4 linked regions of the Notamacropus eugenii genome follow. The protein of the gene in region 4 interacts with the protein of the main gene of each other region in a biochemical or structural test. Links are inferred from orthologs where the notes say so. Each region holds a gene or a part of one and is shown on either strand. Other genes may lie near its edges. The genes, in order: DPF2, BCL3, MAP3K8 and NFKB1.

Region 1 (7,506 bases), on a different chromosome or scaffold from region 4:
TAACAAATATGCAATGACCAAAAATTAATTAAAAATTTAAAATTGTGATGAATCTGCACTTTACACTGTGCATGATCTCCAGCCACACAATGCCAACCAACACAGTCCAAACCAAAAAGAGGTTGCAGGTGGGAAAAGTTTCAGAAGCTCGGGACCTACATGTCCCTAGAAGTCACTTCCAACTCCAAAACTGTCATTCTTGCACCTGAAACAAGCAGAATCTGGCTGCCAAGATTAGATTTAGAGCTTAAAGGGGCCCTAGAAGTCATCAAGTCAGATTTGTATTCAGGTTCTGCCATTTAGAAATTCTATAGTAACTACTATCTTCCAGGCATTATCACTTTAAAATTATTTCAACTGATCACAACAACCCTGCCAAGTAGGTGCTGTTATCTCCATTTTACAGATGAGGAAACTGAGGCAAACAGCAGTTAAGTGACTTGGCTAGTGTCTAAGGCCAGATTTGAACCTAGGTCTCCTTGACTGCAGCCCTAGCACTCTATCCATTCTATCCAACCTTACCTCCCTGGGACTCAGTTTTCTCATTTGCTAAAGGCTAATAATGATACTTCCAACCTCATTGCACCACTCTTCCATAATGTATGGAGCTAAAAAGGGGCTTTGAAATTATCTGATATAAACTCTTCATTTTACAGATGAGGAAACTGAGATCCAGGGAGCACAGCGGCTTGCCCAGGTCATACAGCCAGTGGGTAGCAGAGCTGGCCTTCTAAGCCAGGTCTTCCCAGTTCTTTCTACTCCACCCAAGGACACAGGGGTGATGTCTATACACATCTTAGCTTTGCCCAATCCTGCCAGCTGTAAGCACTCTCTCCTTCTGGACATTTTATACACACACACACACACACACACACACACACACACACACATACACATACCCATATATACATACATACATCCTCTGGACATTTTGTATAGGTATACATACATATATGTACGCATACATACATATGTACATATATCTTTAATTCAATTAACTCAATTTGTTCCTTTCTAATTTTCAAGGAGTTTGTTGCCTGGGCAGATTTGATGCCTCTTCTGCCAAGCTATTCATTTCCTTTTCAATTCTTTCTTCCATAGCTCTCATTTCATTTGCAAAAATGTTTTTAACTCATTAAAGAAAAAAACAAAAAAAACCTGCTTCATCTTTTCCAGGAATTCTAGTTGAATGTGTACCCAGGTTGTTTCTCTTGAGGCTTTGCTTGGAGATGTTTTGGAGTTATTCTCTTCTGCCTTGGTGATAGCATCCCTGTCACTAAAATAGCTTTTTATGGTGGGATCCTTTTTTGGGGGGCAGCAGGTTCATTTTTCCAGCCTATTTCCTGACTTCAGGCTTGTATTAGGGCCAGACTCTATGTGCTTTTGGAGGGAACATCTGGACTGGTCCTGTTGCTGTCTTCTTAGGGTACTGAATGTTATGTTATTCCAGGATCTCAGGGACAATTCAAGCTGGAGACCCATAAGCTTTCAGTGCTCCCAAAGTGGTCTAATCCAAAGCAAAATCTAATCGTTGTCCTCCTCAGCCCAGCCCAAGTCTGAGCTCTATAAGTTCCTGACCACGGTTTGGGTCTGAGCATCAGTAGATGCTGCTGGAACCAGCCCCTACCAGTCAGCTGGAACACTCTGTGCGTTCAGAGTGATAGAATTATAGGCTCCTCTTTAGACTGAGTTTCCTGCCCTGGTTACTCTTCCATAGGCTGGGCAAGAAGCTGGAACTGAGATCCTGCTCTTCTTCTGAGATCTGAGCCATACTACTGCTGCTGCTGATGGCATCTAAGCTTGCCTCTATGTACATCAACTCAGGCCCTCCTCAGCTGCTCCTTACCCCAGAATGCCATCCCTGAGAACAGGTCTCCTCCTCCATCCACCTTGATCTTAGACCTGGAACTGATTAGTGTTGGCACCTGTTCCTCTCCTGCCACTCAGGGGTGGGTCTGACCTCCTTTCACCCTGGTCCACAACACTGGAGGGCTTCTGGCCAGATCCCTTTCTGTCTATTTTCCTAGACCAAATTGGGCTGGCAAAACAACTCAATATGATTTTTTTTCATGGATTTCTCCATCCAGATTAGATCTGGCACATTTTCCAGATCTGCTTAGGGAAGGTGGGGGATTGGGACCCTGGAATACTGGCTGTGAGGCCTCCTGCTACTTGGTTCCTCGGTTCCTCCATCCTAATAAGGAAAGCGGCAGCCCAGAGAGTGTCATTTGGATCTGGGAAGTTTCAGGATGGTACAAACAATGGAGGAGTTCATCCTTTTGAGGAATAGCAGAGTATGGATTGATTATTTTTCCCAGCACAGTCAATTAATAAACTTTATTAAGCACATACCAAACGATGCCAGGTACTGTGCTAAGTGCTGAGGATGCTACAGCCCCTGCTATTAAGGGGTGTACTGTCTCATGGGGGAGATGATGTGCAGACAACTATGAACCAACAAAGAAGACAATGGCATTAAAGGCGCATCTAGAAGCCTTCAGGTAGAAGGTGGGATTTTAGTGGAACAAGAGGTAAAAGTCATAGCTTAGGGAAGGGATGATACCTATGGCAGAAACCTGACCAGAGACTACTGGGGTGTGTCTAGGGGTCCCTCCCTACCCTGATCTACCTAGTCAGAATCCAAAGTAGAGAAGCAAAGTCAGAGGCAGAGGGTGGGGATGAACAAGTTAGCCCTCAGCAGCATTGCAGAAAGATGGTCAGAGGGCATCAAATCCAATCACCCTGAGCTTGAAAGTGGGTTAGAGTCAGCAAAAATTTATACTTCTAGATCTAGGCCTGAAAGGAAACTTAGGAGTCATCTGGCTTCAAATACTCATTTTATAGCTGAGGAAACTGAGGCCCAGAGAAGTCACCATTAAGAGATTTACCAAGGTTCACTTGTGTGGTAAATTATTTCTAGGATTTCATCTCTGGTCCTGTGACCGCAAGGTCAATGAGTGCTCTCTCCACTGAGCATCAATAAAATTTTTTAACTTTGGGAATTTTTTCGATATTAAAAAATTATAAATCAGAGGTTTAGGGCAGTTAGGTGGTGCAGTGGATAGAGCACCAGCCCTGGAGTCAGGAGGATCTGAGTTCAAATCCTGCTTAAGACGCTTGACACTTCCTAGTTGTGTAACCCTGGACAAGTCATTTAACCCCCATTGCCTTGAAAATAAATAAATAAATAAAAGAGGGTTTGAACTGATTAACAACAATGTTGTTGTCCTTTGTTCTTGAAGAGGACCATGACATCAGGGAGGTGATGCTATGACATGCAGGTGAATTGGATCGAAGTGATTTTGACGAGACTATGAGTGTAGAATATTGCAGCTCCTGCCAGACACAAGCTGGTGCATGGATAGCTTGGCTAAACCGTTTTCTTTTCTTTCCTTCTAATTCTCTGTTAACAGAGCCGGCAAGGCAGGTGAATTCTTACACCTCAGAAACCGGCAATCCCTACAAATCAGCGCTTGATTTGTCGTTGGTTTCTTAATTGACTACATTTTAAAAGTGTTAATAATCAGATTTAACTTAAAAGTGTTTGTGCAAATCTTCCCCCCTCCTCCCCCCCGGAAGCCTGTTTGTTCCACTACCATTATCTTCATGGTCATGTTTGGAAATGAAATCCGTGTGAAAATGGAAGAAAACAGGCATGGATACAAAGTTGCAAAGGAGATACAATGTAACTTTTAAAATAAGGGCAACTTTGTATGTTTGTATACGAGCCTGTTCCCGCGAATTCCTGGGCGGAAAAATGGGAGGCAGGGCGGTCCTCAGGGGGCAGACCGGTTTTTGCCCTTCTGGATATGCCCAGGTTAGCAGGTGCCCGGTAAACAGTAGGCGTTTAATAAATGCTGGCTGCCCACGGCAAAGGAAAAAGTTTAGGTTTGAGTTACTGTTTTCAGTTGCAGCTACTTTCCCCTCCTCGCTCCCACCCTGGGGGTCCCTTCCACAATTGAGGAGCCCCCAGAGGACGCTGGAGGTGAAGGGGAAAAGGGCCCCCCCGGCCCGAGGCAAGGGACTCACTGCAGTCCCAAGGCTTTTGTCGCTTTCCTGGAGTCACAGGCTCAAACCGCGCGTGCGCACTGGCTTGGTTCTGTTCCCTCCTACCCGGTACTGGCTCGGCTCCTGCTAATGGGAAAATTACCGCGCTTGCGCGATGGAGCTGGGGCGGCGGGGGCGGGGGGGGTTGGGGAAGTGGGAAAGATGGCCGACCTTTTTGGCGCCTGCGCGTTGGAGCAGGGAACTACGAGCCGGCTTCTACGTGGAGGCGGAGGAGACGGAGAGAGCTTCTGTTTGGAGCTTTGGGGAAGGCGGGGTGGAGCGCGTCAGGCCTTCGGAATCGGCGCCTGCGCGCTGCGCCGCGGTGCGGGCGCGCTCTCCGGCCCCGGCGCTTGCGCGCTGGCAGCCTTGTCCTCCTCTCTGCACGCCTGCGCGCTGGGGTCGCCGCGGGGGCGGGAGCGGGGAGCGTGCGGACGCGCGGGCACGCGCTTCGGGCTGGGCGCCTGCGCACTCCGACCCCGGGGGCTCCCGGGCTGAGGGAGAGGAGGAGGGAAGATGGCGGCCGTGGTGGAGAATGTAGTGAAGCTGTGAGTGGCGACCGCCGTCTCTTCAGAGCCGGGGCGGGCGGGGGGGGCGGGCCCGGGGCCGCGGAGGGGGGCGTGGCGGCGGCGTGCGCGGAGACGCCGCCGGGGCGGGCGCGGGGCGGCCGGGCCCGGACGAGGCCGTTGGGCGCCGGGCCGGGGCGCGTGGCAGCTGCGGGCGCGAGCACTTCCAGCGGGGGCGCGCGCGGGGCCCCGCTCCAGCCAGGCGCGCCCCCGAGGGGGAAACTGAGGCCCGAGCTCCGGCGCCTGGAAAGGGACCTTAAAGGGGGGGTCGTCTCGCCTGACCGAGGAAGTAAACTGAGGCACGCGGGCAGTGCCAGGGCCAAGGTCACGGAGAGAGTCAGCGGGAGGGATCCTAGAGACAACCACGGTCCCACGTCCCATTTGACAGATGGGGAAACTGAGGCACAGAGCGGGGCCTGGACGGGCGCCCCCGCCCTCCACAGTCCCTGCCCGGTGCTGAGGCTCGTCCTCGGGGGATTGGGGAGGACCCCCGGGGGGCGGCCTGGGCTGCCCTACGGGGTCCTCAGGAGGTGGGCCTGGCACGAACACCCCCGGCCAGACGCAGAGCCACAGGATGCGCTTTGGGAAGGAAGGAAAGGGGCACCTGTTCACCCAATAGGGGAGTTTTAAATACAAAGGGGGTCCCCCCTGCTTGGGGTTCTGGAATGAATGCTGAAACCGGGTGCCAGGGAAGGCTGCAGCTCTTGGGCCTGACCCACCTGAAGAAAGGAAGGAGGGCCGGCCGTATGGCAGGATCCTCCTGTTCCCAGGGGGCAGGCCAGGGGCTCTTCCTTGAATCCTGAGGAGCTTGCTTCATGCCGTTGGCCAGGGGTAGAGGCATCTCAGAAGTGCGGGCAGCCGTGAAAGGTGGCGTGGCCTTGGCATCTTACCTGGGAGCTTAGCATGAAGTGGGCCTTGAATTCACTCCACCTCGCCCAGGAGTGGGTCAGCAGAACTCCTGTTCTCTAGGTGCCAGCTAGATTTCCAGCTGTTCCTTTTTAAGCGGGTGCAGGGAGTTGGAAGAGAGGGTTTTTCCAGGGTTCTCAGGCCTCTGTCCTTGCTTTATGGTAGGCTGCAAGCTGCTCCCTGGACGGGAGCCTTTTTGATGAGGGAGAGCATGCCCACTGCCATTCAGCTGGGTGCCCTCCCTCTCCTGGGTTAGTTGGAGGGGGCGGCAGGCTTCCTTTCTGCTCAGCCACCCACCCATCCCACTCCATCATCATCCTCTCTGATGTGCCCACTCCTTTTCCCCAGTCTCTCCTCAGGCTGGCATTTCCCTCAGTTCAGAGAGGATCATGCTAATCTCCCACTCTGTCCTTCCTGACACAAAGGTTCTCTCCCCCCTTTTCCATCCTTTTCCTTGGGTTTGTACCCAGCACCCCACAGGGCCCAGAGGCAGTTTCACCGATTTTATACTGACGTAGAGGGAAATCCAGTTGTTCTGAGAAAAGCTGACTCTTCTAGATCCCAAGGGGAGCATGGAAAGAAGGCAAGAGGGAAAGAAAAGCTAAAAAAGGGAAGTTTCTTGGGGTAGGCCTGTTTTGGATGGGTGGCAGCAGGCACCTTCAGGTGGGGTTCAGGGGGTTGGCAGGGTATCTCCTGAGACAGGCCTTGGTTTCTCCATCTCACCTCTGAGGTAGTCTTGGGGGGTGGGGTTGGGGTTCCTGATACCCTGGCACCCTGGCAATGGGGAGCCATCCACCTCCTCCTTAGTACCTGCTTAGCCCCCTGCTGGGGGCTGCTGATGACAGTCAAAGTCTATTGACCAGGCTTCTCTTCCAAGGAAGGGAACTCCACCTTCTTTTTCCTGTTCCTGATCCCCACCCAGAGAAGCAGCTGTTGTCCCCTTGCCATGCTATCACCAGGCTGGTTTGTTTTGGTTTTTGTTTGGGGGGGAGTACTTAGTTATCTGACAGTTTAGTCTTAATTTGACAAACAGGACACTTCTGGGCTTTATTTGTGATGGGCTCCTGAGCTGGGACTCTCTCTCCCTGGCATAAGAAATGAAAAGGAGATCTCTTCGTAAGGGTAGCACCCATTGTCCCCAAACACCCATCTCTCTCTTAGCTGCTTAACAGGATCTGACCCTTCTCTGTCCAGGGATCCCTTGCTGAGTTCTCCCTCCCCTGTCCCCCAACTCATTAGGAGCCATGTTCTCTGCCCTTTCCCAAATACATAGTGTTCTTTAAAAAGCTGTGTGGCCCACCTCCTGGTGTATGCCTGAGGTACCCACACAACCTGAAGGCTCCAGGATCTCCCTGCTCACCTTCCATTTCTTTCTGAACGTCACTCTCAATTCCCATCAGTGGAAACAAAGGAACTGCGCTCTTTAGCCTTGTTTATCCAATTTTATTCTCTGATGGTGAGAATGTGGAGGCCGATTTCTGAAAGCCAGCTAATATGGACCCATTGCCTCCTCCTCACATAAGAGGCCTACCTCAAATTACAGTAATTACAGCTCATTGAATTAAGCTGGGCTGGTGGCATTTCTGCTGCTGCCTTTCTGTTTGTTTTGGTTTGGGGGTGGGGATTTTTCCCAGTTGCTCAAAGCACCAAATTATTGAGAGCTCATCAGATCATGGTGTGGGGTTTGAGGTGGTTTATGTTCTGGGCCTTCCCAGCCAGGACACCCAGAGGCCCCTGGGGCCCAGCTTGATTCCTCTTGGTGACATTTGACTTGGCTCAGCTGGTGTCCTCTAAGGTAGAAGAGGGAACAGACAGGTCAAAAGGGTCCCAGACAGCTTTCTGAGCCTTCCCTTGAAGCCCCTCCTGTCCCCCTACAGCCTGGGGGAGCAGTACTACCGAGATGCCATGGAACAGTGCCACAATTACAACGCCCGCCTCTGCGCCGAACGCAGCGTGCGCCTGCCCTTCCTCGACTCCCAGACTGGAGTGG
Region 2 (6,939 bases), on a different chromosome or scaffold from region 4:
GTTGGATTCCCAGCCCCCTCAGGTTCCTTCTAGGGACCGAGGTATCCCTTAGGATGGGGCTCATTCCCTTCCTAGGCCTGGACAGTGAGCTCCTCCTCCTTACCCCCAGCCTCATTTACCTCTGGGACCCAGGATCCTAGCTCTAGGGCTCTCATCTCCTTTCAGACCCTGGCATTAAATCCTCTCTACTCCTGATGCTTTGAGGGTTCAGTGATGTGGGGACCCAGCCCCAGCATCCCACCCCAGGATCTATGGAGCAGGAGAGGTCCCTGGGGTTAGGACTAAGGTCAAGGGTGAGCTGATCCATTCCAGTAAGCCCTGTGATGCCTGCCTCCCTCGCAGTGGGAGCTGAGGGCGGAAGGGGTTAAGGCCAAGTGTGTGTATAGGGGGAGACTGACGCAGGCCTGGGGAGCAGCTGGGGCTGTGGTGTGTCCTGCGGTCTGGGGCTTCCCCGGGAGGCAGCCACTGCAGAAGTGTTTGTGTTGGGGCTGGGGGGGGGGGGTGGTTGTGCGGCGAGGATGAGAGTGAAACAGAGGGGAAAAGGGACACAGAAGGGGGAGGGGAATCAAGGGGCATATGGCTGTTGGAGGGAGATGGAGACTTGGGGCAAAGGGAGCTCTTAAGGGGAGAAGGAGACTGGAGTGGAGCACAGGGGAATGGGAGGGGGTCATGGGGGGGAAGAGGGTCCGTGGAAGGGGGAGAGGCAGAGGGGTGTATGGCAGTCCTTAGAGGAGGTAGAGGTCCAAAGGTCACTCACGTGTCTCCATCCTCATCTGGTCTTGTGGCCTTGGCAATGTCAGCGGTGAGTGGGTTCTCCAGGGGGCAGAGCACTGGGTAGGTGGGTGGTGGCAGGCTCAGTACTGAAAATGGGGCTGGTGCAGGATATAGGAAGGGGCCTGTGGGGGAGAGGGTGTGAGGCTCTGAGATTCCCTCTTCCCCCTCTACTTTTAGAAGCAGTAGTCGTACTACTGCTAGCACTACTCCTACTACTAGTAGGAGCACCACTACAATTAGTACTACTTCTATACTACCACGACAACTAGTACTAGTACCACTGTAGCTAGTAGTAGTATTAATACTAGGACTACTACGTAACTAAAATTTATATAGCCTTACTAGGTGCCAGGCATTGTGCTAAGTGCTTTACAATTATTACTGAGAGGGAAATAAGGAAAGGGAGGGAAGGCAAACATTTGAGTGTGGAGGGAGAATGTCAAAGAAATTCAGACTCTTTGAGTGGGATAGGAGCTTAGACCATAGAAAGTCAGACCTAATAGCCAGTTACAGGTACTGTGGGAAAACGGTAAGAGAACATATGTGTGTCTGAGAACATCATTTCAAACCCTGACTCTTCCACTAGGCTGCCTGGATGACCTTGGGCAGTTCAGGCCACAGTTTCTTGGACTGTAATATGAAAGAGCTGGGACGAAAGTCTCTTTCAGCTCCACATTTCTACAATTTACCCTCATCTATGAGGCTTTGGAGCTTTCAGAACACCAGTCTGAAGATGCCTTAGAGACAGTCCAAGTGCATCGCTTTACACACGACAAAATAGGCCAGAGAAGAGGAGGACTTTCCCAAGGTCTTAGAACAAGTTCATGGTAGCGTTAAAACTACATTGACATCTATCTCAAGGTTCTCTCCATTGAGCTTCTAGGAGCCTGGGGATGGACTAAGGGTTTGTGTATGTGTGTGCAGGTTGAGGGGGGTAGATGCCCAGGCAGGGCTCTCTGTGGTTTTTCTGGGTGACTCAGGGTCACGTCACACTGTGACTAGAATCAACCAGTTTGTGCAATGTCCTTGCTCTTGGGGTGGGGGACAGAGCCTTGGGGGGACAGGTTAAGGGTGGGTTGCCTTGTGGGGGGGCAAGGTGAGAACTGGATAAAGATCCAGGAAGCATGGGATGATTGGGTCGGGAAGTGAGGACAGCAGGGGTTGGGAAAGGAAGAAAGGGATTCCAGGTTTGGGCAGAAGATTAGGTTGAGAATGGGAAGACCTGGGGAGCAGGGTCAGGATGGAGGATGTGCTGACTTTGGAATGGAGAGAGGGGGTCAGGGAGGATGCACTGGCTGAGGACAGGTTAGGATGGATGTGGGATCAGAAGAGGTAAGGGGGTCAGGGAGAGGACAGACAGGTTTTAGACCTAGAGGGAGGAGGCCCAGGTAGGGACCAGGCCAGGGTGCCCAGATCAAGGACAGGGTGAGGAAGGGCAGTTGTCCAGGCTGCAGGTGCCCAGGCTGGGTTGAGCACCTGCACCCCAGGACCAGGCTGGGTTGGGACAAGGGTGCTTAGGTTAGGGTAGGGTGGATCTAGCTGGAATGTGTGGAAGATGTCCAGGTATCAATGTCAGGCAAGGGTACCCAGCCCAGGTCGGAAAAAAATTGCTTTGGGCAATGGACGCCTGTCTCAGGACAGGCGGAGGGTGCCCAGAAAAGCACGAGTAGAGCCAAGGGTCGAGGCCTGGAGGAGAGTCCCCAGTTCGGGTAGGAGCTGAGGTGCCCGGGCTACCAGGGGTGGGAGTTCATCTCTGTCCCCCTCACTCACCAGGATAGTAGATGGCTGTGGCAGGGCCCGGGAGGCCAGGGTACGTGCTGGGGCTCTGCGGCGCGGGCTCCGGGGCTGGAGCGATGCCGGGCCCGGGGGACTCCTGGGGCTCCCGGTAGCGCCGCTTTCTCAGGGGCAGTGTGGCCTCCGAGTCGGGGGCTCCGACTTTGGGCCGCGTCCGCAGGTCCACCGGCCCGTCGTCCATGTCCCGGGGGCATCGGGGCATGGCCGGGGCCCCTGGCTGCCTCGGGTCTCCCTGGGGCCCGCCGGGGCAGAGGCAGGGCGGGGAGTTGTGCAGAGCCGACGGGGCGGACGGAGCCCCGTCTGGGAGGGAGGCCCGGTGGCTGCCGCCGGGCACAGGCTGCAGCCCGGCTGGGCTCCGCTCAGATATCAGCGCAGCGAGCAGCACACCAGGGACTTCCCCTCCAGCCAGCTGAGCTGAAGGGACTTTTGTGAGCCGGGGCGGCGCCCGCCCTCCCCCGCCTCCGCCCTCCCCCGCCGCCCTCCCCCTCCCCGGGCTGGCCGGGCCCCCTCCCTCTCGGGCTTTCCTGGAGGCTCCGGGCTCAAGTCTCTCCGGGCTTCTCCGCCCCTTCTCTCGCTCCCGGCGTGTTGTTTTTCTCCTCCGTATTTTCACACACACACACACACACACACACACACACACACACACACACACACACACACACACACTCTCTCTCTCTCTCTCTCTCTCTCTCTCTCACACACACACACACACACACACACACACACACACACACACACACTCTCTCTCTCTCTCACACACACACACACACACACACACACACACACACTTTCTCTCGCTCTCTCCTTCCTGACGTCTCTAAGTCTGTCTCTGAGTCTCTCCCTATCTGTCTGTCCTTTCTGATCTCAGACACTGTCTCTGCCTAGTCTCCACGTCTCGACCCTGCCCGCTCGGCCGTCTCTGGGTCTAATCTCGGTTTGTCCTTCTGGGTCCCCGGTCCTGGATGGCTGGCTGTACCCCGCCCCCCGCGCCGAACACTGTCCAGTCCTCTTTGTTCCCCTGCCCCGCCCGCGGCCCCCTCCCACTCCCCTTGCTTTCTGCCCATTTCTCTAAGCCTCTGCCCGATCTCTTCCTTTTTCTCTCCTCCACCCATGTTCCAGGAGGGAGGGGTGGGGGCAGGTGGCGGGAGTAGAGGGGGAGCGGAAGGCGGGGCAGACACCTGTGGAATGACTGAAAGGCCGAGATCCAGGCAGTCAGCGAGAGAAAGTCAAAGACAGTCACACACAAATCTGCAAAGACCTAGATAGAGACCAAAGGTGGGGGAGGAGCGGGACAACCGAGGTCAGAGGGAAGCGGCCCAAGGGTGGGGGTGGGGAACAGGCCCAGCTGGTTGGGGGGAGGATGAGTCACCGAGTCCCTGGGAGGGAAGGGGAAGGAACCCTGGAGCCGCCCTCCCCCTGCTTTCCCTCTCCCCCCACTCAATGCCCCTCCTCTCTGCATACCCGAACCGGGTCCCCCTTCTCTTTTTTTTATCCTAGATCTCTTTCTCCTTTCTCTCTCACAGGGACGAGGATGAGGGAGAAAGCGACTGGGGGGGGGGGGGGGGGGGGGCGGAGAGGAAAAAGGCGAGACGTTTCTGTTCTCAGCCTCTAGTATACCTGTGTCTCTATCCGGTCTGTCTGTCTGTCTCCCTGACCTTGTCTCCAAGCTCTGTCTCTGTGGGTTTCCCTACTTTTCGCTAGCTCCCTTTTTTTTTGCTCTCCCTTCTCCCGTCTCCCTCCACTCCCTCCAGCAATGGGGCGGAGAGGGGGGGCTGGGAGAAACCGGGGCTTTCCCGTTTTTCCCCAGGGGCGAGGCTCCTCCCAACCCTTTCTTCTGCTCTTTCCCTCCCCGCTTGAGGTTGAGTCCGGGTCACTGAGTCACAGAAGGGAAGGAGGAAGGGACCCAATTCCTTCACTATCCCCCCCACCCCCTTTTCCCAGAGCTACACACTCCCCACTCCCGTGCCCCAGAAAAATATGCCCAGAGTTTCTTTCTCCCCATCTTTCTCTGAGCCTCCAAGAATGACAGAATCCTTAGGTTGGGAAGGAGTCTAAAAGGTCATTGGCTCCCATCCCTTCATCTCTTAACTGTCTCTGTCTCTCAATCCAGTGCTAGCATGGAGTTGTAGAGGAGCACTGAATTTAGTCAGAAAATCAGCATTCAAACAGTCCTCTTACTAGGAGAGTGCCTTTGTGCAGGTCATTTCCCATGGCTAAATCTGATTTCTTCCATGTAAAATGAAGGGGGTTGGAACAGCTTCAGGTGCCTTTCAGCCCAAAGTCTCATAAATGAGGCCTCTGTCTGTCTTTCTGATTTTATATGGCCCCCTTCCTCAGGTTTGAAGATTTCCCTCTGTGTTTCCATTCTGTTGCAATTAAGTCTTATTTATTACTAAATATGTTGCCTTCAGGGTCTGTTTCTTTGCCTCCCTGTGTAATCCCAGGTCCCATCTCCTTTCTCTGAGACCAAATTAATGGAAGTGAGTGTGCCCCACCCTCCTCCCACCTCGAGCTGTAATCAGACCTTCTCTTGGACTTGGACCCGACCTTTTCCTCTCCTCCCCCCACCTCTTCCACCTCACTGCCAATTATTAACAAGGGATGTGGTGGCTAGTGGTAGGGACAGTTCTGGGCTCAGGTCAGAGTTCAAGGAGCTGAACTGGGTAGGGCAGTGTCTGTCTGTCCCTTCCAGTGTCTCCCTCTCAATTGCTTTGTTTCTGTTGCTCTGGGTTGCTGTGGGGCTGGTGGGGTAGGATGGGGCTGTACTCCCTCTGTTTAGCCCAGGAATGCAGTCTGAGGCCCAAGGAAAATCTGAGGGTTTGAGGTGTGTGTGGGGGTAGCTAGAAGAGGGCTAGAATACAATCTAGGGAAAGGCTGAGTCTGAGGAGAATCTCAAGGTCTGGGAGAGTCTGGGAGCAGCTCTTGTTTGGGGAGGGGGAAGTCAGAGGTGACCCAGCTCTTCTCCCTTCCTCCCCATCTCCCCCCCTCTTGTTGGGCCTGATTTCCCAGAATCTCCAGGAGATCAGGAAAGTCCCGGCTTGGGGAGTCTCCTCCCGCCCCTCTTTCTAGTGTCGGGAATGGGAATGGAAGAGACCACGTATGATAAACTTGTCCCCTCCTCAAAATAGACCCTGGAAAGGGGTTTTAATTAACTCTCACCTGTCCCTTTTGTGCCACTCTCTGGGAAACGTGACATTCACTGGATCTATGCAAGGGGAATCAGGGGTTTCCCCTGTTCCAGGCTCCCATTGCCCAGAGGGCCGGGTTCCTTTCCCTCAGACAGCCTGCTTTTGAACTTCATCCTTTGACTAGTTCGAGTCAAACTACTTTCCCTACTCTGGGCTGCAAGTCCCGTGTGTATAAATCATTGAAGGTTAGGAAGTGTCTGTCTCCCCAAATCATGTTCCTCTCCTTCCAAATCTACCTCAATACATGTCTAAGAAGTCCTCGGGGATTCACTAGATGGCCAGTCTCCCTGCTTTGGAAGCCCTCTGAGGGGAGGCCTGGGCTTCCTGCCTCTGGTGGCTACCCTAGGCAGGCCCCACATTCAGGGCCTCTCCTTCAAATTGCCCAAGCAACAATTTGACTCAGTCCTAGGCCCTGAATTCTGCAGAAACTTGGGCCTAAGTCAGAGGATGAATCGGGGCCAACTTCCTGGAGGAGGAGCTATTCCCTTCCCACCCCGCCTTCCTTCCCCCTAGGCCTTCCCTGCCTTATCCTGGCACTGAACCCACCCTGCCCCACCCCAGGGCCTGCTGCCAACATTTAATCTTCTTGGAGCCATAGGCCCGAGGGGTTATTGCAACATAGACCCTGGAAGGCTACCCCTATCTCTTCCAGGGTGATCAAGATGAAATTCCTCTTTTCTGGAAGCATTTTTAAGGCTTTCTCTGAGGAGACACTGAGGTAGACCTAGCTAGACCCAAGCCTTAGGCAACCCAGGTGGGAAAGGATGTGAAGAAGCCAGAGGAGTATTGAGAGAGCCTGGGAGAGCTCCGAGGGGTGGGAAGCTTTGGGGGGCACAGAGTGACCCCCAGAAGTCAGGGTAGGGCAGAAGGTATGGCTCTGCTCCCCTGATCCCAGGGGCCTCCAGCCCAGAGAAAGGGAAGTCCTAAGGCCCTGGGAAAGGCCCCTCCCTTATCCCCTCAGCAGGTCCAGGAAGCCACGGAGGTCATCCTGTCTAAATTTCCGAGTAGGGTAGGAATGTGGGGTGGAAACTGAGAAGTGAGGGGTACCCTGTGTGCTTTGCGTATGCAGAGATCTCCTGGAGGGCAGTGTTGCCATATCACTAGGACCAGGGAGCCCCTGAAGACCCCTAGGAAGCAAAGGAAATTAGTTTTGGGATTGGATAAAAATCCCCACGCTGCTTGG
Region 3 (7,873 bases), on a different chromosome or scaffold from region 4:
TCTCCATTAGAGGAGGGAGTTCCCTAAATGGATGAAGTCACAGATGCAGTTTAAAAAAAAAGACCTCCCAAAAATCTTAATTTCAGATTGCAGGTCTCCGAAAAGCTAAACAATTTTGCAGTCAAACATTAAATCTTTTGATCGGGCTCACCTCTTAAGTTATTCCAGTGTAAACTCTTGAGACAATCTGCAGGAATTTAAAAAGCATGCCTTTCACATTGGCATCAGCTGAGCAAACTGTGAATTCTGTGGAATTTTCCCCTGCTTCCTCTCTGGAGTCATGTGAACTCATGGACTTTTTTTTTTAAGAAACATATTTGATTAGTAAGTCAATAAGCCCTCCCCAGCCAACAGCATGCTAAGTAGAGTTACTTTTGTGACAACTTCTGTTTTTCAAGCCTGGATTGTATAAGAAGAAACTGCAACTAACTGTTCAATGAAACCAAAGTAGTATCCATGTTCTGTTGGTCACATCCCTCTCACTGACATACAAACAGTATGGCCCTGAGGACCAACTTACAGTCTTAATACTTCTACAGAAGCAGGTGAAGTTTCCTGAGATGCTTTTTTAGTTGAATACATAATATACAGATGCCTTCTGAGCTAGTATCAAAACACATGATAGTGCAGGTACCATTAAAATTCTATATTAAAAACAAGCAAAGTGAGATCCATTCTTGGACAGAATGAGAGCATGCAGCTATAGAAAGAATGAAATAATCGCAAAGTTGTTCTAGCATAGCAATCGATGCTTTGTAGCCTATGTAAGCCAAATGCAATGCCTCCCCTCTACAGAGCACAAGCAACTTAAGAGACAGAAAAAAAAAATCCCTACAAAACTTTACACCCAGAAGAAGGGAGTACAGTCATTTGCCTCAAGTCCTCAGGTGAACCCTTTAGTAGAGGTAACCAATACAACGTTTTAGGTTAATTTCAGTTAAACTGACATTAAAATTGGAGTCAGAAGTCCTGGCTTCCAGTCCCTACCCTGCAACTGGTCAGCTGTCACCTAAGGTTAATATCCTTACTTACAACACACTTCTCTAGTGCCTAAACGATTACTTTCCTCCTAGCAGCCCTTTAAGGTAGGGAAGTAAGTAGTGTAAGTATTATCAACTGTGTGACATTTGAGAAACCAGAAGCTCACAAAGTCTCACATGCATGTACTCTCTTAAGAATACTGGTGGAAGTCCCAGACCAGCACTTTCACACTTCACACCTTATTAGCCTTTGTGTATTCTTAGCAGTAAAACAAAAAAACAAAAACAAAAAAAAAAACAAACCAAAAGAAAATAATATTAATCTATTTACCTCAAAGTCCTGGAGAAGCAAAAGAGATCAACTATTTGGCTTTGAAAACTGCAGCCCCCTAAAAACGTAAGGTACATCTGCAAGAATCTTGTGAGATGTAGGTTGCAAGATGATTACTTCCTTGCAATCAATGGTAAGAACCCCTCAGTAGTTTGTATTAAACGGAGTTTCCGGGAGGAAAGGAGAAAAAAAAATTTAAAAAAAAACTTTACTTAGTGGTCAATTACTCCAGGTGCAAAAATTTCTGGCTTTAATATGCAAATGAAAGGTGTACCCTTTCTCCCAGGTCCCAAAAGCACTTCTAATCCCTTAATAGAGACTATTCAGAATAAAGCCTAAGGTTGATGTATTTTAATTAGGCTGAAGTACTGCATTAGTTAATCACAGAAAGCCAAAAGATCTATACTGGAGAGAAAAACTGGTTTGAAGGTCATCAGACAGTAAGCTCAACGGAAAACCTTCGGATGAGACAATCTATTTGGCCTATATAGATTACTCAAAGTAATGGTATGTAAAGCTGATGTATTTTTAGTTTCAAGGAACAGCCCCTTATTTTGGTTCAAACCACCCACCCTCCAAGATGAAAATTAGCAAGTGTTTACATCATTTCACACAGGCTCGATTGGCCTCTACCCTCTCCCTTCCTCACTCCCTTTTGAAAAATCCCAACTAACAGCTTAAAGCTTAACCTTCAACACTTTCAGGTAGAACCTGTCAGTTTGAGCCCTCGAGGACCGGACGCTGGGTCTCTGGGTGTCAGGAGAAGGAGAGCAGCCCTCAGACAGCAAGTACCTTCCATGAAGTTTTTCCCCTCTCCGGTTGATACAGCCTTCCTAGCCTCAAAGCCCAATCTTGACACTATGACGCAAATGCCCTTTAGAAAAGACTCGGAGCAATTGAGTCCGACTCCCCAAACCCCCAAACGCCCTCTCTCCCCAGCCCACCTGCCGTCCCCACCCGCAGCCTTGCTTCCATAGGTTTTTTTCCTTGATTAAAATGATCAGTCCCTCGAGGACCTGCAGTTTCGGGATAATTCTTAGGATTAAGTCCACAAGATGCGTCGGGTTGATGTGTTAGCAAGTTAAGGCTACTGATATTTTAAAGGCGCGCAGAGAGCAGTAGCGGCCAAACCCCCCAGACTCTGGTCTGGGTCGCACTCACCTGGAACCGAGCTCCCCGGCGGCCGTGGGAGGGAGGCGGGGCATCAATCCCACCTCTCCCGGGCACAGCCCAGACCTGCACTACCAACCTGGAGCAAGTCTTGCGGACAGCAGGGATCCGGGAGAGAGAGGGAAGGGGGCGGGGTCGAAAGACTGCCACCAGTTAAGAGTTTCGCAAGGTGCTTTCCAGCGGGATCGCAGCATCCCGACCGGGTCCGAGAGGAAGGAAACTCGGCGGCAGCAGCTGGTTGGCAGATCCAGCTAGCCCCGACCCGAGGAGTTCCCCGTCTCTTCCCGGCAGCCAGGCGGAGAAACACAGCGACAGAGGAGAGAGGCGCTGCCCAAATAAAAAAGAAGTCCCCTCCCCCTGCACCCGAGTCCCCCAGCGCCCCCGGCAAGCGGCCGCTTGGCGCTTCTCTCCTACCTGGAGTCCCCGTGCAGCCCGGCGGGCGGGCGGCTGGACCTCTCCAGGGGGAGCGGGACCCCGGCCAGGGCCGAGCACTCGCCGAGCGACTGTCTGGCCGGAAAGCTTCGACGTGAGCGGCGAGGGGGTGGAGCAAGAGGCCAGAGCCGCGGAGAGCGCCGGGGTGCGGGCCCTGGGTCTCCGCCCCGGCCAACGCGAAGCGGCCGCTGCTTAGCCCCGAGACGCTGCCAGCTCCTTGACTCCCTGCGTCTGAGCCCGGCGACGGGTGGCGCTGCGGAGAAGACCAGGCGACGCCGCCCCCTCCTCTTTGGTGTTTTCCATTTCCCTTTTCTCTGTGTAATCAGAAAGAGGTGGCCCCGGTCGCAGGGGAAGCCTGCGTCCCGGAGTGGGAAATTCCCCCTCCCCTCTAGGTGTCTAGGCACTAAATGCACCCGAAAAGATTGGGGGCGGGGCCAGGGGCGGGACTTAGGGCACCGGGAAACCAGAGAGGAGACAAGCGAGACGATCAGAGGGGCACCATGGACTCTACTGGGGAATTCCCAACTTTTTCTGGAAGGGAGCTGCGAGACCGGAAGCAGCTCCCCACAGCTCCCAGCTGTAGGGACCCACGGACTGCCACCTCCCCTCAAAAAAGAAAAAACCCACTCCTGTGAAGAGTGAGGACACCCTGCCCGGGTGGGTAGGAGGAGCTGCGGGCTTTGATCTTATCTCCCAGTGCGAGCTGGAGAAGAGAACAGAGTGCGGAGGGTGTGGATTCTTCCCCCCCGCCCCACCAAAGAGTCTGGAGGAAGCTCTGTTATTCCAAGATCTTCCTTCCCCACCCTTAACCTCCCCACCGAAGGCTCCTCTCTGCACCGCCTCTGGATTGGACCAAAACATGTTCCCATTCCACTTCATTAGCTCAACCACTGCATCTTCAATGGCACAAAAGGAGATAGACATAGCTAGCTAGATCGATGGATAGATCTTACCAAGCCAGCTTCAAGAAGCTTACGTTTCAGATCTAGAAAGGGAGCAAAGGTTGAGGCCCAACTCCCCCATTTTGCGCGTGAGGAAACTGAGGTCCCCGACGCACGTTAAGCGCACGTTAAGTGGCTTGCTCAAGATCTCTCATAAGTATTCTAGGTGTCCGTGAGGTATTTGAGCCTAGGTCCTCTGACTGCAGTCATAGGTCTTCCTCCGGTACCCCATTGCCTCCGACTACTGGATTTGGAGACAGAGGACCGAGGTTCAACTCTCAGCTCTGCTGCCGTTTGTAATAGACCCTGGACAAGTTACTTAACGTCTTTGGGCCCTTGGAGGAGTGATGTTAGTAACTGCCTGCCTAACAGTGCTGGGAAGACAGCTGAGCTCCACCCTCAGCTGAGTTCCTCACTGCTGGGAACGGCCTGCTCCCTCCCTTACCCCTGAAGCTTTCACCACTATTCCCCCTCCTCCCTCCTCCTTTTCCGCTGGCAGCCGCTCCATTCCTGGGTCGGGCCGGCGGCTGAGCCACTCACTCTTGGCCCCGGACCTCTTTTTCTGAGCCAATTGCCAGTAACCTGCGCTTTCCACACCCCGTCTTCCCACTTAAGGAATGCAGCGATTTGTATTAATGGTCATTTTCTCAGCAACTCCTGAGTATGCGGCGGCAGATGAACGCAAGAGTCAGCCGGAAGCTGAAAAGCTTAACTAGACTCTGCAGCGTCTGCACGGATAATTGGAATCGAAATGCTTTGGGGGGACTTTAATTAGGACCGAAATTCTTAACACCTGTGATTTGAGGATTGCGTGTGATACTTGGTGGAAGGATTGAAAGCACTTGACAATATTTTGCTTTTGAAATAGAAAACGCTATGTTCTAAGAATTGAGGGATTTCGGGCGGGGCACTGGAAAGTTTAGCAGAGACCGCATTTACACGAGCTGTTCATTCTTTCTGGCCTCTCTCGGTGAAAGAACTTTGGGGCACTCCGCCCGGATTCCCTCCCCAAGCATCCGACGGGCAACTGCAGCCTGGACTCTCGGGGTGTTCTACCATAAGTACTGATTGATCTGGTCCTTCCTCCCCCAACTTGTAAACACAGAATAGGATCCCTTATCTTAGCAACTCCTGTGAGGTTTAACTTGTGGCTGGCTGGGTAAAAAGAACTGCGAATAAAACTTGAAAATGACTGGAGCTCAAAATAGAAAAAAAAATGTATCCCACTCCCTTTTTTGCAGAGGCTTCCCGGGCTTTCTTCAACGCTTGGCTCAGCTTCCACCTTCGGCAGGAGGCCTTTTCTGGTCTCCCGACTCCTCTGACTCGACTTCCTATTTATTCTGTAGATATCTCTATGTTCATAATTGTTTACTTGATGTGTCCCCCATTTGAATGTGAGTTCTTTAAGGGCGGAGACCATGTCCTTGCCTGCTTGTAGCCTTAGCGCTTAGCACCGTGCCTGGCACTTAGTAAGTGTTAAATAAATACTTGTGGGCTGACTGGCTGAGGGACTGACCCGAGGACTAACGGTGTGGAGTATTTTATATACCTCTAGATTGTATTGATGTCTTGGTTTTGATTTTCATTTTTCCCTTTTTTGTTCTTTATTACCTGGGATGGTGGTAACTCTTTAATTGGGTGCAAAGAGGACAGTGAGGGGGGGTGAAAATGAAGATGTAAAAACAAAAGATAGCAATACATTTCTCAAAAGATAGAAACTCAGTTAAGTCTTTTTCACTGGTGTAAGACTGAGGTTAAAAAGGGGGGGGGGGGGGCTTTCACAATCTTTTTCTGTATGTCCTTGGACAAATATTATGATTTCTCTCTGCTCTACAGTAAAGTAGGTTATGAGGTTATGACTGGGATCATGTTATCATAATAACTCCAAGGGACATTAATAAACACTTTGCAAATACTGAAAGTTGCTTAATCAGCAGATTGCTGTTAGGTGCGTGCTATATTTAGCAGATTGGGGCTTGCAGAGTTGATACTTCCTAACTTCCACCCCCAATAGAACAGTTATTGAAATTATTACCTAAGAGTTAGAATCATAGTCAAAAATTCTAGGCAAGCAACATGGAAGACCAGCTTTTAAAGAAGAATTTAGTTGGGTGAGGGAACATGTGGGGGAGTGGAAGGACCATAGGACAATGAAGGCCCTAGGGTAGAGGGAGTAGGAAAGGTAGGCAGAAGTCACCTAGGTTGTGGGGTAAGGTTCCTTATTCTAGTTGACCAGGTGCAAAGTCCAATTATTTCTATCTGTATAAGGAACAGAGATTTTTCAGTGCCCTAGGGAAAACTTCAGTAGCTATGGCCCTATCCTTGTGAAAGGCTGTGCTGGGAAATCATACTACAAAGTGAATGCTGTATGGTAGGTATCCAGAAAAGAGTGGAGCTGACCTTGGAGTCAGAGCCCTAGGCTCTGTTCCCGACTCAGATACCAGCTGTGTGACTGTGGACATTATCACAATGTCTCTGAAACTCAGTTTCCTTATCCAAACATTAGGACAACATTTCTTCCACCTTCCTCACGAGGTGGTGAACTAAACTTTGGAAACCTTAATGCCAGAGCCCTGTGAAGTCAGTAATTTACGTATTATTACCTCCATTTTGCAAAGTAAAAAAGCTTATTGAAGGGTCAGAGAATTAAGTGGTTTACACAGTGGCAAAGTCAGAATTCAAACTACATCCACGATTTCAAAATCAGCTAAATCCAAACTCTCCCATCTCACAGATGAGGGAACTAAGGCACAGAATAGTAAATGATTTGCTCAAGATTGCTTGGCAGTATGTGGCAGTAATTGGATTTCAATTTAGATCCTGTGACTTCAAATTCATGACCTTCTCCGCAGCCACCCCTGTCCCCCCAACCCCTGCCAGGGTTCTTTGCATTCTACCATTCTGCCTCCAAAGTAATAACTGGTGTCCTGGCAAGGGTGACCTGGGCCTGGAGGTTGGACGTCGAGGTTAAGAAGTTGAACCAGGAGGCCTGAATTCAACACCTCTGGTCTATTGTGGAGAAAGGCAACTCAAACTCATAAATGCAGAATGGATTTGACCAGAACCACACTGGTGACTGAGGCTAGGGAGTTGATTTACTCTCTCCATAGATTCTGGCTCCATGGTACCTGAAGGTGAAACCATAGGTTGCAGCAAGTTCATTTCAGTTCAATAACTATTCATCGATCATCTGCTATGCACAGCACATTATGTTAGGAGGGGAGGGGCAGAAGGAACAGGGGCTCCTCTGCCTTAGGTAATTTATAAAATAGTTGGAGGGGGGTATGTCACACACAAATAGCTATAAAGTCAAATGGTACTTGATAAGTGTTTCAGGGAGGTGCTCCATCAGATCCAGGGTTTCCTCCATTTCTTCAAGACTGTTGTTGTGTTCATCCTTTGTTGTCAAAGACCATGCCATCAGAGAAATGATGACATGACTTGCACATGACTTTGTTTTGAGTGAGGGAGGGCTGTGCAGGTCACCAGCCTTACTTCTCCAGAGTCATCTGAATCCAGTGATCATCATATTCATCAGGATGACTAGAGATGACCCAGGATGCACTGGGAGACCTTGACCCCTTTAGGCCAAGGTCTTTGCTAGCATTCACCTAGGGTGAGGTAATGCCCATTCATTGAGTAGGACTGTTTAAGAAGTAGCTAGGGTATGGCCCCTTTAATGAGGCAAAGAAAAAGACATCAAGCTGGGAAGGAAACAGCAACAGTTACTATTGATAATCACACTTAAGCCAGGAGGGTCCAGAAGAGCCCTTAGGCAGGGGGTCAGTGTTGTCCGAGCTTCAGAGTGCAGTAAGTTTAAGGTTTTGGGAAAGGCAAGGCAAGGCAAAAAATCTAGCCAGTAAAACCCGAGTCAACTGGGCATCTTCTGACCATCCAAAATTACCTTCCTTCGGAGAAGAGAAGAAAGGGGAGGAGAAGACAGACAGGAGGGGAGGAGCTGAATTACCCAGCTAGCTGGGTCCCTGTTCAGGCAGCTGCATCTACTCAAAGGTTGTTGT
Region 4 (7,480 bases):
GTGGTAAATACTTGGGCAGAGTAATTCACATGTAAAAAGTGATTTAAAAAACAAAACAGATATTTAAAAAAACAAAAGATGAAAGTTTTGGAAGTAACCTTAACAATACAGAAGTAGAGAAAACAATCAGAGAAGAGTAAAACCTCAGTTCTAGCTCTGCCTTTCATTTGCCATGAGCTTAGACAAATCACAACCTACGTGGACCTCACTTTTCTCATCTGTAAAATGAGAGGGTTAGACGATATGATTTCTAAGGTCCCTTCCAGCTATAACATCTGTGATTTCTGTCTCCAAAAATGATTCTGAGGATAAAAAACATTTTTAAAAGACGTTACCAAAGATTTTTGCTAAGAACTCAGAACTCACATTATTTTAGTCACGATTTAAATAAATGCTTTTTCATTCATTCATTGCATTTGTATACTTGTTGAAGGTAGACCTTCTTTCATATGAAACTGTCTTTCTGACTGAAGCTCTCCATAGTTCAGGTGGACATTTTGCCAAATAAATTTGAGTTGAAGGTCTATCAATATTGAGTAGATAATTATAAATAAAATCTATTTGACTGAGCATTTCAAGAAAAGTCTCTTCCCAGTACATACGTTCTTTGCATTTCAGCAATTCAGTTGTATGTACTCATGAAAAACAAACATAACATATAATCAATTTCTCTTCCAAAATTCTTTCTTTCCAAACACACTAGGCTCAAGTTAATTATTCAACTCTATATCAGAGTACATATAGAGTAGACATTATAGAGAAGACAGTTTAAACAATTCAACTGGTCTGGAATTGGGCAGCTACCTCATCATTTACCACCAAGCTGTTCTCCTGGACTTCATCATCATTTCCAGGAACTCATTTTCAGGAAAGATGGAATCAACTCTGAAGCTCAAGTCTTCTGAAATAACCCCAAGTCCAGGAGGGGTTCTAACTGCTGAAGGTAGAGGACGGACATAGAAGACCTCCTCCCAGATCCTCCCCCACTGCCCAGGGCACCACCATGCTTCAGAACGCCCTGCCTCACCATACCCTCCAATTTTCAGCTTCTATTTAAGTATTATTTTCTCCATTATATTGTGAGCTCCTTGAAGGGAATGACTATCTTTCTGTCTTAAGAGGCTGACATATGCGGTAGGTACTTTAAAAATAACTAACTTCAAATAACAGGATGTGAAGAATTGTAAAATTAAGTCTTAACAACATACTTCAGCTGAGTCCTTGCATTCTGATCAAGTTTTCATTCTAAAGGACAAACAGGCAAACAACAGTGTCTTACTCAGGAAGTTCAGTAACTACCAAAAGTAACAATGTTACACCAACTGGGAGTACCTTGCTTCCCAAACAGTGGGGAAGAGCAGGCTTCTGAGAAGATCACTGGCTTATTCTAATATAGTAAATGATTCAACTGCCACCTTCATGTTATATTCCTAGACTTACCATAGGAAATAGACCAAGATTTGGAATCAGCTAATTTGATATAAATCCATTAATTGAACTTAAGCCCTAAACTGGTAGTTTCTATTGAACCTTCAAGATACTCTAAAAACAAACGAACAACTAGATTTGATATCCAGGCTATTTCAAATGTGAAACAGAACACTCAGAGTGCAAATTAATTTCACTATAAAAAGATCATACTTGAGAGACGAGTCTTAAACCTTTAATAACTTAAACTATCGTTATGCAGCGTTAGCTTAAATTATGGTTATTAAAAGTTATAACTGCACTCCGATTTTGGGGACACCCTGCATATATGCCAGCACCACCATGATTTTTTTGGATGACGAACTAACCATCGGACTCAGCACTTGATTTAGAGAGTTTACTAAGAACCCCCACTCCCTCCTTTTTTTCAGAATGCCTTTCGGGGGGTCTTGGAATGCCCCTATGGACTTAATATTTCTGAAAAGATAACCAGAGATCCCGATCAAGAATGGGCCCATTTTCAGTTAGAGGATGGCAGATAGTTAAGACTTGGAAACTAGAGGGTTTTCAAATAAAGAAAATCGGTAGCCTTCATTTCGTAAAACGTCCTTGGATAGAAATCAGATTCAGCACTTCACTCAAAATACCCTCCCCCCCCATACACACAAACGTACGCCCTTAGTCATTCCCTTCCCTCCAGACTAAACCTCCCCAAAAGAAAAATTAAGTCTCCTCAGCAGTCCAAGACGCCCAGATATTTTCATCTTTTCGAAAGGTTGGAGGAGGTGAAATGGGTTGGGGGAAAAAATACAATTGACCAAACCACATGGCCCCGGGCTCCCCTGAGCCGATTTGCACCACCCCCAGTCCCTGACTGCCTTTTTCCTCCTCTTTCACCAATCCCTTGCACCTCGCAACTGGTGTCAACCTCCTCCAGCGGGTCGGGCAGGAATGAGGAAGTCTAGACTCGGGGGGATGGCGGGGTGGGGATCGGCCAGTGTGGGGGGACTCGCACTTACTTGTCTGCCCCTTCCCTCCAGGAAGAGCCTCCCCGCTCCCTCGGCCCCAACTTTGGTCTTACCCTTTGGGGGAGCTGCTGTCCAGGGCCTCCCAGCTCGTCCTGGCTCCCCGCTCGGATCCGGTGAGCAGCAGTGGGGGGCTGGCCGGAGGAGGCAGAGGAGGCAGAGGAGGCGGCGGGCTGCGCGCGTGGGTCAGCCCCGCGGAGCCTAGCAGCGGGCAGCACAGCGCATGGCCCGCAGCCCGGGCCGGGGAGGCTAGGGGTGCCGCAACCCGAGCGCCCTGGCCCGTCCCGGCTCGCTCACTCGTGCGCTGTCCCCGGAGCAGCTCGGGCGGCCGACTGGACGGCGGGCGGGCGGGACCGAGCGACGGGAAGGGGAAAGGGGGAAGCTGTCAGCGCGTCCCCTGGCCCTCGGGTGGCGAAACCTCCCCTTCCTGCTCGCAGCTGCCGGGCGCACTTCTCTCTCTTTCTCTCGTTCACTCTCTCACTTCCTGGCTGGAAATTCCCACTGACGTTGAGCCGGAGAGAGCGAGCAAGGCCAGACGCGTACACACACTCACACACTTGCACACACACTCCCAGTCCGGGGGCGGGGGAAGCCCGATCTCCTGGGGGGCAGGGCTGGAGACTGGGGACCGGGGTCGCCTCGGCGCCCCTCTCCGGCCTCCGCTCCTACACCCCTTGCCCGGAGCGCAACGTCAGGGACGGGAGGAGGGACTTGGACTCGGCGGCGCGCGCCTTGTTCCGATCCCTTGGCCTCGTCTGCTGGAGCCGGCGCTTGGAGGCCCCGGGCCAGCTGCGGGGCTGGGATCCCGCGGCTCAGGCTGCGGTACCTGGGCGGGGTCCGCTGAGCACCTGCTGGGAGACCCCGGGGATCGAGGAAGGGTCCCCCACGCTTACGTTATTACTGTGGTTGTGCGCGGTGGCTGAGCAAGCCTGACTCGATTTCAAATCGTCCCCAAGTCTGCCTCAGTTTCTACATCTGTAACAATAGCGCCTACCTGCAACGGTGCTTGTTAGGATCAAATAATATATGTGTAAAGCGTTTTATTAACTGTAAAGCCCTATATAAACATAAAATGACATAGAAATATAAAATTAAATATAAAACTATTATTTTTAATAATAATTCACTTTATAACAAATAGAGGATTTGAATCTTCTGTTTGTGACCTCTCCCTCAAAAAAGATTCTTCACCTTAAATTCTGTCTGTAATGATTCCCCTATTGGGATGTTTATTAAAAGCATGTATTAAAAACCTCAACCTAGGGCTTTGACACGCTGCTTTCCTACACAAACATTGCCTCATTCAAGCCTGAAGCCCCAGGAGGTGATGTGAATAGTGTTTCTCCTACTATACAGATAAGCAAACTGAGGCTCAGAGAGATAGTTTCTTGCCCAAAGTCTCGTAAGTGGTAAGCATTTTGGGTTCCAAACCCAGTTCTATCACCACTCTACCATTATGCCTTCTCAATAGTCACAGCGTGTTAGATGACCAGCCCAGACCTCCTTTTTCTGAGGATGTGTAGGACTCTTGATACCTGAAAGGGGCTGCAGAAGCAGCAGAGTACAATACCTTTATACAATACCTGGTGCTGTGAAGATCCAATGAAATTATGATGTAATATGAGGCTTAAGTTTTATGTATAAATGTGATTTGCCATTTAGTCCCCGGAAGGTGCCATTTGCCTAGTGTCACACAAATAGCATAAGTAATAAAAGGGGATTCGAACCCAGGTCTTCCTATCCGGAGCAAGTGATCTTTGAGATTCTTCGGTGGCCTCTTTTGCAAATGATCAGACGCATTATGCTATATAACCTAAATATACCTGCCATGCATTTCTTCAATATCCTTTGCATGAACTCATATTTTAGAGAGGCAGTATGCTTCATGTGTACTACCAAATGTTGGGACTTAGCTAGAGGAGGCCTGAAATACTTCGGGTGGTCCTTCTGCAGGGGGGCCTTTGGCAAAGCCTGGGAAAAAGTCAGTCCAGGTGAGATGTGGATAGTGGATGGGGAGATCACAGATTCATTGACGAATAATAGCCTAACTCTTGGTGGAGTTGTGAACTGATCCAGCCATTCTGGACAACAGACCAAAAAGTTATAAAACTATGTCTATCCTTTGATCAAGCAATACCCCTACTGGGTCTGTATCCTGAAGAGATCAAAGAAAAAGGAAAAGGACCTTTATGGACAAAATTATTTATAGCAGCTCTTATGTGGTGGCCGAGAAGTGGAAACTGAAGTGATGCCCATCAGTTGGGGAATGGCTGAACAAGTTGTGGTATGATTGTGATAAAATACTATTATACTATGAGAAATGAAGAGCAGGATTATTTCAGAAAAATCTGAAAGAGGTATATGAACTGATGCAAAGTGAAGTGAACAGAACTAGGAGAAAATCATACATGGTAACAACAGTATTGTATGATGATCAACTCTGAATGACTTAGCTATCCTCAGCAATGCAATGATCCAAGACAATTCTGAAGGACTTAGGACAAAAAATGCTATCCACCTCCAGAGAAAGAGCTACTGGAGTTCGAATACAGATCAAAGCACACTTTTTTAAAAAACTTGAGTTTTAAAATTTTTTAAGACTTAGGTTTTTTCCTTGCCTTCTTTGGAACATAGCTAATATGGAAATATATTTTGCATGACTGCACATGTATAATCTATAGTAAATTGCTTGCTTTCTAAAGGAGGAGGGAAAGGAGGGAGAGAAAGAATTTTTAACTCAATTTTTTAAAATGAATATTAAAAATTATTTTTATCTGTAATTCAAAATAAAACAAAAGAACTATAATTGTCATCATCCCTAGAAAAGCTATCCTAGCAAGAAACAGAGATCATAGATTTTTTTTTTCCTAACCAGGCTTCTAGAATTCATACAAGAAGTCTTCCCGCTTCCCTCTTAATGCTACCTTCACCCTTGCTCCACTCCACCAACACAGAAAGAAGAGTTCATTTGGTACCATGTCTTTTTAACCAATCTAGTCATCATAAGGCAATGATGACCAAGATCTAAATGACTGGACTGGTAGCAGTTCCCTCTTGTGGAAAGATCTTGGCAAAGAGGCCTGGAAATTAAGGACTTCTTGGGATTTAATTCTGACTCTCATTTTCTGATTCCCACTCTAACAAAGTGATTAGCTCTCTGTGACTCCTGAATCTCAAATACACCCAGGACTGCTTCTGATTGTTACAGCTGAAGGAGGGGGCTGGAAGATGAAGCTTCCCAAAACAGAACATTTCATGGAAAAGTGAGGGAAGGGAGTTGAAGGTAAGAGGAGGTTTTATGGCAGCTGAGGGAAAAGATAAGTTTAGTTTATTTGTGTTTGAGGGATGAATGTAACCGCACAAGGACCAAACATTTAAATTTTATAAATGTGTTGTCCCACTTTTGAGTTCTATAAAGTTTATGACTCAAATGTTATTTCCTCTACAAAGTTTTCTTTGATTCCACCAAGTCAGTAAGGACTATTCCTCATTTCCAGGACTTTACCAATCACTTTGTTTTACACAAATTTGATGCCCTTGTTACTTATTGTTTTGTATTATACCTATCTGTGTACTAGTCATGCCTCCCTACCAAAACTGTGGATTTCATGAGAACAAGGACTGTGTCTTATCTAAACTGTATCTCCTTCATTGCCCAGTGTGGGGCTTTTAAACTTGTTGCATTGAAGAACTCTACTCATTTTATTCTCAGGAAAAGTTCTACTTCTAAGGAAATTGCTTAATATTTGTGTAAATCCCCATGGGAGAAAATAACCTTCTCTTATGGGTTGATAGAAAGCATGTTGTTATTAATATATTCATGAAGTCTTTTTTCTATCATAAGCTTACTCATGAAATGTCACCCTTCTGGGGTTAGGGAGGGGAGAGGTGGGAAGGGCACCAAAAGATGAGTCATGAAAAAGAACCTGGGGAAGTAGGTGGGGCTTATAGATGACAGAAGGTGGATTTAGTCCTTGGATTCAAAGTATAGTAGCCACTTTTTCTGTACTAAGGTGTTTAGAGCATGTTGCATCCTTCAGAACAGGAACAGACTTGGTTAGAACTTTAAGATTGGGAAGAGGTAGAGGAGTCTGTTTTTAATATCAACATGACCCAAACTGAACTCTTTACCTTTTCCCAACTACTCCTCCCAGTCCCTCAGGCTCACAGCCTAGGGGTATAATCCCTCACTCTTCGCTCTCTCTCATCCCCTCCCCCCCGCTATATCAAATCGGTTCTCGAGTCCTTTCAATTTTCCCATCTCTCATATATGTCCCCTTTCTCTCTTCTGATCACTCTGGTGTAGGCTTTTTTCAGCCCACACCCAGACCTGTAAGAGCCTGCTGGTTGGTCTCTCATCAGTACAGTCCATCCTCCACTTAGCTGTCAAACTATCCTAAAGAGTAGGTCTGACCACATCCCACCCCTTTCAATAAATAACAGTGACCCCCTGTCAAATAGAAGAAGCCCTGTTTGGCATTCAGATCCCTTCACCACCTCTTGCCTCTCTAGTCTTCTTACAAGCTGATTCTCACTCACATAATCTTTGATCCAGTGACACTGACCACCTTGCTCTTCCATGAGCAAGGCACTCCATCTCTCAACTCTATGTATTTCACTGGTTATCTTCTGTCCGGGACTCTGTCCCTCGTCCCCTCTTGCCTCCTGGCTTCCTTCAAGTCTCAGCTATAAAAACACTTTCTCCAAGAAGCCTTTCTAGATTCCCCTTAATTCTAGTGCCTATCACCTATTTGAGTATCTCTAATTTATCCTGTATATATCTTCATGTATTTATCCTGTTTATATCTTCATGTTGCCTCTCCTATTATACAGTGAACTCCTTGAAAGAAGCAAGATGTTGTTTCTTGCTTTCTTGCCTTTTAAAAATCTTTAGTTCTTAGTACTTCTGCCTGACACATAGTAGGCATTAACTAAATGTTTGTTGGCTGACCAACTAGCCTTGGAGGAAATCTCAATGAAGTAGAAAGACCCCAGCGTATTTCATTACCTCTGTTTTACAGGTGAAG

The links.
Region 1: the proteins of NFKB1 (region 4) and DPF2 form a complex in vitro, tested with the Homo sapiens proteins (2 studies listed by BioGRID). The link is inferred for Notamacropus eugenii from reciprocal best matches to the Homo sapiens genes NFKB1 and DPF2.
Region 2: the proteins of NFKB1 (region 4) and BCL3 form a complex in vitro, tested with the Homo sapiens proteins (2 studies listed by BioGRID). The link is inferred for Notamacropus eugenii from reciprocal best matches to the Homo sapiens genes NFKB1 and BCL3.
Region 3: the proteins of NFKB1 (region 4) and MAP3K8 form a complex in vitro, tested with the Homo sapiens proteins (2 studies listed by BioGRID and IntAct, with this or other methods). The link is inferred for Notamacropus eugenii from reciprocal best matches to the Homo sapiens genes NFKB1 and MAP3K8.

What each region holds. Positions count from the first base shown.
Region 1 is NC_092873.1:18,130,946-18,138,451, forward strand, and holds the start of DPF2 (zinc finger protein ubi-d4), read left to right. Parts: upstream 1-4,487; 5' UTR 4,488-4,560; coding exon 4,561-4,592; intron 4,593-4,751; exon of another isoform or gene 4,752-4,934; intron 4,935-5,439; exon of another isoform or gene 5,440-5,579; intron 5,580-5,986; exon of another isoform or gene 5,987-6,088; coding exon of another isoform or gene 6,089-6,099; intron 6,100-7,393; coding exon 7,394-7,506. UniProt on the Homo sapiens protein: Plays an active role in transcriptional regulation by binding modified histones H3 and H4. Is a negative regulator of myeloid differentiation of hematopoietic progenitor cells. Might also have a role in the development and maturation of lymphoid cells.
Region 2 is NC_092876.1:27,320,405-27,327,343, reverse strand, and holds the start of BCL3 (B-cell lymphoma 3 protein), read right to left. Parts: upstream 3,014-6,939; 5' UTR 2,771-3,013; coding exon 2,545-2,770; intron 897-2,544; coding exon 758-896; intron 1-757. UniProt on the Homo sapiens protein: Contributes to the regulation of transcriptional activation of NF-kappa-B target genes. In the cytoplasm, inhibits the nuclear translocation of the NF-kappa-B p50 subunit.
Region 3 is NC_092874.1:70,166,714-70,174,586, forward strand, and holds the start of MAP3K8 (mitogen-activated protein kinase kinase kinase 8), read right to left. Parts: upstream 3,010-7,873; 5' UTR 2,896-3,009; intron 2,801-2,895; exon of another isoform or gene 2,473-2,800; intron 2,226-2,472; exon of another isoform or gene 1,312-2,225; intron 1,279-1,311; exon of another isoform or gene 152-1,278; intron 1-151.
Region 4 is NC_092878.1:140,834,700-140,842,179, reverse strand, and holds the start of NFKB1 (nuclear factor NF-kappa-B p105 subunit), read right to left. Parts: upstream 3,009-7,480; 5' UTR 2,510-3,008; intron 1-2,509.